Linked DNA regions of Stegostoma tigrinum. The protein of the gene in region 2 purifies or fractionates together with the protein of the main gene of each other region. This does not show direct contact. Links are inferred from orthologs where the notes say so. Each region holds a gene or a part of one and is shown on either strand. Other genes may lie near its edges.

Region 1 (3,751 bases), on a different chromosome or scaffold from region 2:
ACTTTTAATACAAAGTTTTTCAGGCTTAACAGCTCCTGCTAGAAGCAAAATGAACCAGATGAACCTGCCGCAGGTTCCTTTAGGGCTGGGCCCCCTAAAAGATCAAAAGATATTCACTGCTGCTTGCTGTGAACAGCAACTCTGGCTGCTGTCCTCTTCCCTCATTTTTCCAAAAACAATACTAAAACAGTACTAAAAACAATACAAAGTACATCTGTGACTGTGCTGCACAATCACCCATCAGCCTCCTTAGATCACCTAGAACTTAGGGCATTGTTGACCACACCATCTTGCTCTAATGCAACTCCTTCACTATCCAGATAAGTGGGAATCATAAAATCAAACCTATAACTTTCCCCCTAAAAGATCAAAAGATATTCACTGCTGCTTGCTGTGAACAGCAACTCTGGCTGCTGTCCTCTTCCCTCATTTTTCCAATCAGCAAACTGACCAGGATCTAATCTAACATCTTTTCCATTCTGATCCCTAGGCTGACTTTGCAGACTCTCCCTTACAGTCTCTTTTCATGTCCTGCCTGAGTTCAACTTGCCCACACTCAGATCATCATGATTTCAAAATCCCTTTCCTGTTAAATTGTTGACGACCATTTTCCAGTACTTACTCACATGCTTCATTATATTATACACAGCTCCAATCTCACTTTCTTGCCACATTTCCAAACCTACAATTATTAAAACTCCACCTCAAAAAACCTACCCTTGGACAGTAAATTGAAACAAAGAACAATTGATTCAGAAACCAAACAAAAATAGAAATTGCTGGAGAAACACAGCAGGTCTGGCATCTGTGGAGAGAAAGCAGAATTAACACATTTACCCTTCAGAAATTTTACGGAAACTCAGCAGCCTTCCGATTTTCTTACCTTTAGACAGTGTTCACACAAGTTGACACTCCTGCTCTTTTTTCTTCTTCAATGCTTCTGCCAAAAATCATTAGCCAGCTTCTTTACAACACTATTTCTGAATCACCTGCTACAGTACTAAAAACAATACAAAGTACATCTGTGACTGTGCTGCACAATCACCCATCAGCCTCCTTAGATCACCTAGAACTTAGGGCATTGTTGACCACACCATCTTGCTCTAATGCAACTCCTTCACTATCCAGATAAGTGGGAATGCTTTTTACACTCTTTTGATTCACTATCTCACCACTTTGCAATCTCTCCATTGCCAGATGTCTAACATGCCATCACAACTCTAAACCCCAGACAAAGTGTAGAGCTGGATGAACACAGCAAGCCAAGCAGCATCTTAGGAGCACAAAAGCTTTTGTGCTCCTAAGATGCTGCTTGGCCTGCTGTGTTCATCCAGCTCTACACTTTGTCTCGGATTCTCCAGCGTGTGCAGTTCCTATTATCTCTGATATAACTCTAAACCCCACCTGGCCACTAATCCAGGGTGAACGAAATTGCTGGCAAATTTGGCACCTAAGTCCTGAACCGACTCTATATGCTCCCCATCAAAAACCAATTACTTCATTCTTCGTAACGTCACCCATCTATATTCCAGTCTCAAATTTACCACGGCTGAAACCCTCTTTCAGACTTGATTGGGGAGGGATTTCACGCCGTCAAAAAAAACTTTTTGGTTTGGAGACCAGCAGGTAAAAGCTAGTCGTCTGCTGAAAATAAAGTGCCCCGACTTTGCAACTAAAACAAAACTGTGAAAATTGTTAAAGAAAAAAAAGCTCGTCATAACTGTTGCATGAAACCTCAACGACAACATTAAATGCCATCAGAAGCTCCGCCCGCCAATCCATACCCAACATCCCTCTCCTCATTCATCGCTATCCTCAACTAGGAAATAGCAAGTCTCATTAATAATTATCACCACAACAGTAATGGACCAATGCTTTACTTAAAAGACAAACAAATGTAAGATGCATCAAAACATTAAGAGTGTGGAGCCCCCGTAAAGGCGGGCGGGATGGGGGGGCGGCGGTGGTGAACGGGGGCCGCTCAGGGAACTTCAAAACGGGCCCCGACCCAGAACTTACTCCTTAGCAGTGGAGATGTCTCCTTCTTCACGTACTTGCCCTGCACCTCCGGCGGTTTGGACGCTTCGTTTTTACTTTTCTTCCTCGATAACATCTCTTTAAAGAAGCACTCCGCCCCTCTAACATGGCGGGACCCACATACTAAGCGGAGCTCATCAGATCAGAGGCAGAAGCGAAATCCCAGCCGGCCGGCCTGCCCGCAGAATGCTGGGAAGCGGGAGGGGTGGGGGCAAGGCTGGGCATGCGCACTGCTCGACAAGGGGTTTTGCGCGAGGTTGTGTTGCGTTGGTGCTAAGCAGCTGAGTACCAGCTGATTGACTACAGCAGGCCCAGCAGCATCTTAGGAGCAGGAAAGCTGACGTTTCGGGCCTAGACCCTTCATCGGAAAGGCAATGGTCAATTCTTGTTAAACAAAAAGGATGAAAAGGTTATAGAATGTGAGGCTGGATGAACACAGCAGGCCCAGCAACATCTCAGGAGCACAAAAGCTGGGCCTGCTGTGTTCATCCAGCCTGACGTTTTATTATCTTGGATTCTCCAGCATCTGCAGTTCCCATTATCACAGGATGAAAAGGTTATAGGGTTTAGGCAGAAGTATGGGTTTGAATCAGATCGTTGAATGACAGAGACTCTCACTTTCTCTGTTTGTTAATATCCAGCTCCTAACCACTAGCACGATGCACTCATATCTGGTGTTATATTATTTGTAAAGAGCTGCGTTGTGAATACATATCCCAAGATGGTACATTTACTACTGCACTGCAGTCTACTGATGAACAGCAACAGACAACCAGCCAAATGCAGGTTATCCAAAGGTGCTGGGATGTGGGGCTGAGGGATGTGCTAAAAGTTGAGAAAAATCACCAAAGTGAGGCAGAAACTGGGCATTTCTTAAAATTGAAAAATACAAGCAGAAAATGTGTCTTCAAGGAAACAGAACAGCTCATTTGGGACTCTCATGCCCTGAAGTGGAAAAAAAAGCGTGATTGAAAAGGACAAGCTCAAGATATCGTAGGCTGCACTGCCAGAGCACATGAAGCCATCAGTAGAAAAATGATGATGCTGACTATCTATAAGGTGTGTCATTTAAGTCTGGTCTCCCTGTTACTGGGAGGATATTATTAAGCTGGAGATAGTTCAGAAGAGATTTGCCAAGATGTTGCCAGGTTGAGTTATAAAGAGAAGCTGGATAGACTGGGACTTTTTTCACTGGAGTGAAGGAGGTTGAGGGGTAACCTTATGGTGGTTCATAAAATTAATGAGGGTGTAGATAAGTTGAACGGCAGGTGTCTTTTCACTACAGTGTGGGATTTCAACACTAGAGAGTATATTTTTAAGGTGAGAAGAACAGCCCCCATGAGTAGCTATTCACCCTGCTAGACAGATCGTTATCCACTCCTTTGTCTGTCTCACTGATCTTCAACATTCTCCTAGCTGCCATCAGTTCTGAGGATGGATCACTCACCCGAAACATTAACTCTGATTTCTCTTCACACATGCTGCCAAACTTGCTGAGCTCTTCGAGCATTTTCTGTTTTTGATTTTAATTTAGAGCGTCCACAGTTCTTTCGGTTTTATTAAGCGGAATCATTATTTTATTCCAGTATCGGAAGAGGTCATGCCAGCACTGTCAGACACAAACAGAATATGCGTGGGGAAACTTAAAAAAGAAATTAAGCGAGCAAAAAGGGGGCCAAGTCAGTTGAACACTAGTGGTGGGAAAACTATCGGA
Region 2 (3,751 bases):
TTTCTTTCACAGATGCTGCCAGATCTGCTGAGCTTTTCCAGCAATTTTGTTTTTGTTCCCGAATTCACAGCATCCACAGTTCTTTTGATTTTTATTTTGACGGAATTCACAACGTTCCACTTGTATAGATCTCACCTCATCAAACCCTGCGTTTACTAAATCCTGTAACATCTGTTTGTTTACATCCGTGAAACCACGAACTGAAGAACTGTACTCATTTGAAAATGGCAACAGGGAGTTCCGGATCTCCTGCAAGGCTTTTTGGTAAGTGACAAATTTAAGAGCATTCCGGCCTTGTTGTCTTGAATCTTCTGCACCCAATTTCATCATACTTTGATCAATGCTCCCAGCATCCCCTGATGGTTTGGGTAAATGCCTGAGACTTTCTCTGATTTCCTGCAACATCTGGCGGCTACTCCCAGAAAAGTTGCTGGCAGGGAATGTTTTGGGCCTCATTTGTCTATGTCCATCAGGCTTCTCTCCTCTCTTCATGAAGTTGTCGGCACAAACTAACCAATCTTGGCTCATTTACAGACGTTTACAGTAATTTACGGAAGTTCTAGCAGGTTAAAGGAGATCTTGGCTTTGTGTTAGATATTGAAGACCCTCAGCTGTGACGTTGTTGTTCTACTCATCTGCACATTTACAAGATCCAGTTAACTGAAACATAATAAACAAAGGCATTAGGTCAAACAAATCAACATTTAACATAAATTATGCAAATATGTTCCACTCATAAAAGTATGTCTACAAAACTAACTGAACTTCAGACTAATGCAAAACCAAAAGTAAAGCTCACTTCTATAAAGAAATTCATAATGATTCCTAGTTGCCAGCATCTTTTTATTCACTCTCCTAAAGTATCTCACGTTTTAAGATATCTCAAAGGATAACCTGTCTGTTGGTGCTGTCATACTGTGGGGACAGAGGATGCAGTGACAGGGTGACAGAGGGTGCCAGCACTGCACTTTTCCACACAACAGCAGCAGTTAATTCACATCAACTGACAGCAGAAACATTCATTGGGTTAAATGGAGAGAATAAACAAAGACCTAGAGGCTAAACAAAATCTATGGCCTCCCCCGCAAGATCAATCTGTGGCAAACTTTATCTGTAGGCTTCAGAAGCATACTACTCTGCAAATAAGCAATTCCACAGAGACAATTCATCACCTGTAGCATGTTAAAAGAATAACACACAGAATAATTACAAAAGACAAGGATCATATCTGGACTGCTCAGCTAGCTGGGACAAAACAAATCATGTATATGGACATTTTCATCATCAATGCCTTTCCAGCAAATACAGTGATTGTAAAACAACAGACTTAAAAATTTGATTATCACAGAAACAGACCTTGAAATATAAAATTTTTTCTCCACTTTGAACAGCTAATTTGATCCTCAATATTTATCATCACTTACCATATGGATACTTGGTAACTATCAGATGAAAAATCACATTAACGTGAAATACAAAGCTTTCACATTGCTCTATAACTCCACCCAGAAGCAGAAAGCCAACTTACTTTTCACACAGTATCAGTCTGACACAGAAACAGAACAGCACGGAAAAGGCCCTTCGGCCCACCATTTCTAGGCCAACCTTGATGCATTCTAAATTAATCCCATCAACCTGCACATAGTCCATATCCTCCATTCCCTGTCTGTTCACACATTCGTTTAAAAAGTAAAAAATACAAGATAATTAGGATCTTGAACTGTATTGGAGTATTTTTTCTTTAAACAAGGCTTTTATGAATGTCACATACTCATCGCATTGAAGTTTTGGATTACTGTCTGCAACTTTGAAACGTTTATTTGTGCAAACTATATACCATCAAACTGATACAAAGCAAAATAGGGCACCATCCACATGATTGCTCAATTGACACAAGTTTATTGTTTCTTGTAAATCTTTTGAAATGGTCAAGGCTAATATCACAACCTTAAATAGTGAGTCAGCCTCATGCATCTATCAATAAAGTAGCTTACTTAAGAAAACTGCTGCATTGTTGTTTCTACAGCAGAGAAAGTAAAGAAAATATAACAGATATGTTCACAATTAAGTAGGGTTCAAACTAAATAAGGATAAGCTGTTTCCACTGGCAGGGAGGAACTACAACTAGAGGACAAAGACTTAAAGTAACCGACAAAAGAATCAGAGGCAAAAATTATTGGGCAAGTTTATACAGCGAAAAATGATGCTCTGGAATATTTGCCGCATGCAACATTAGTGGAAATGAACTGTACATAGCTTTCGAAAGGGAAGTGAATAAAAACTGAAGAGGGAAGAAACTGCGGTGTTGAGAGATGAGCGGGAGAGTGGGATTAATTCGATAATTCAAAAGGACGACGACCGTCAGCAAGCACCCCCACCCCCGACCCGACTCGACTCTAAGGCACGAGGCCTGCGATAAGAGACCGGACCCAAACCCCGAGCCCGCCGCGGGAAGCTAGGCCTGCAACCGGAGCTCGGTGTCCAGGACTCTTCCTGCCCACGATCTCTCCTTTAGGCCCCACGGCCATTTTAGACTCGGGATCTTCTTGCCTTCTCACTACCAATTGCACCTCCACCCAGGATCGGCGACCCACTCCCCACGGCCCTCAGCGGGATATAAGGAAATAAACAGAACATCCTGTTTTATCACCCCGGTCAGCAGTCAATCCCCAATCTACCTACCCCACAGAAACCGTAATCCCACAATGGCCGCTCGTTAGACTCTCCGAAACGCAGCTCATCTCCTCCCGCGAGATCATAGACACAGTCTGCGTGAGTGGGTGTTTATCGCCCCCTCGGGCCAGGAGGAGTCACTGCCGCCAACTCCACCAAACGGCTTGGTGTGTACGTTCATAGGACTAACAGAAATCAAGATAGACCCTTCTTCAGAAAAAAAAGAGGGTCGAGGCAAGAATTATGAGCTTTCCTGCTTCTCTGATGCTGCTTGGCCTGCTGTGTGAATCCGGCACTACACCTTGTTATCTCAGATTCTCCAGCACCTCCAGTTTCTACTATCTCCTCAGTCCCAGAGGAATCACAAAGCTGTTCTCTCGTTAGACAGAGATGACTGCTGTGGGTACCAGAGGGGATAGGTCGAGAAGGTGGGGACATTCGTGCTAGTCTCAGCCAGCGAGGAAATTGAACCCACTGCGTTGATGTTACTCTGCATCGCCATCCAGCCAACTGATCTAATTGACACCCCTTTCAGCCACTGTTACACTTCAATGAGGCAGAACAATTCTGCTTTTCACGTCTTCTCAATTCTGCCCTTATGCCTGTTTAAAGGGGTTCAGGCCTTAGAATCAAGAAGCTGATACCATACTTTTGATATGATTAATTTTCACTAGTTTATAGGTTGCCATTTTGGTAGGATACAGAATTGTTTAAGGTGAAAGAAAATCTGTTTGAATTGATTTTCAATTTTACAAAAATTCATGACACCCTTGGACAGTACTCGCAACACATTGTTTGAAAACTACTGATCTGTAGCATTGAACATGGCTGGTTATGTTCTGCATAATACATATCCCAGAATAATATTTCAAGAGTCTGAGTTCAGTGCAACACTAAGAGAAGGCTGCACCATCAGTGGAATCAGGGAAGAAATGAAACCAAAGGAAAAGCCAGGGAGTTACGGACTGGTGAGCCTGACATCAGTGGTAGGCAATCCCGAGGGACAGGGTTTACATATATTTGGAAAGGGAAGGACTGATTATGTATAGACAACATGGCTCTGGATGTGAGTTTGCTC

The links. The genes of interacting proteins can lie anywhere in the genome.
Region 1: the proteins of lats1 (region 2) and sav1 purify together in Homo sapiens (affinity purification with western blotting; 3 studies listed by BioGRID). This does not show direct contact. The link is inferred for Stegostoma tigrinum from reciprocal best matches to the Homo sapiens genes LATS1 and SAV1.

Annotation. Positions count from the first base shown.
Region 1 is NC_081363.1:44,308,786-44,312,536, forward strand, and holds the start of sav1 (protein salvador homolog 1), read right to left. Parts: upstream 2,217-3,751; 5' UTR 2,114-2,216; coding exon 2,020-2,113; intron 1-2,019. UniProt on the Homo sapiens protein: Regulator of STK3/MST2 and STK4/MST1 in the Hippo signaling pathway which plays a pivotal role in organ size control and tumor suppression by restricting proliferation and promoting apoptosis.
Region 2 is NC_081357.1:93,730,477-93,734,227, reverse strand, and holds the start of lats1 (serine/threonine-protein kinase LATS1), read right to left. Parts: upstream 2,767-3,751; 5' UTR 2,683-2,766; intron 661-2,682; 5' UTR 529-660; coding exon 136-528; intron 1-135. UniProt on the Homo sapiens protein: Negative regulator of YAP1 in the Hippo signaling pathway that plays a pivotal role in organ size control and tumor suppression by restricting proliferation and promoting apoptosis.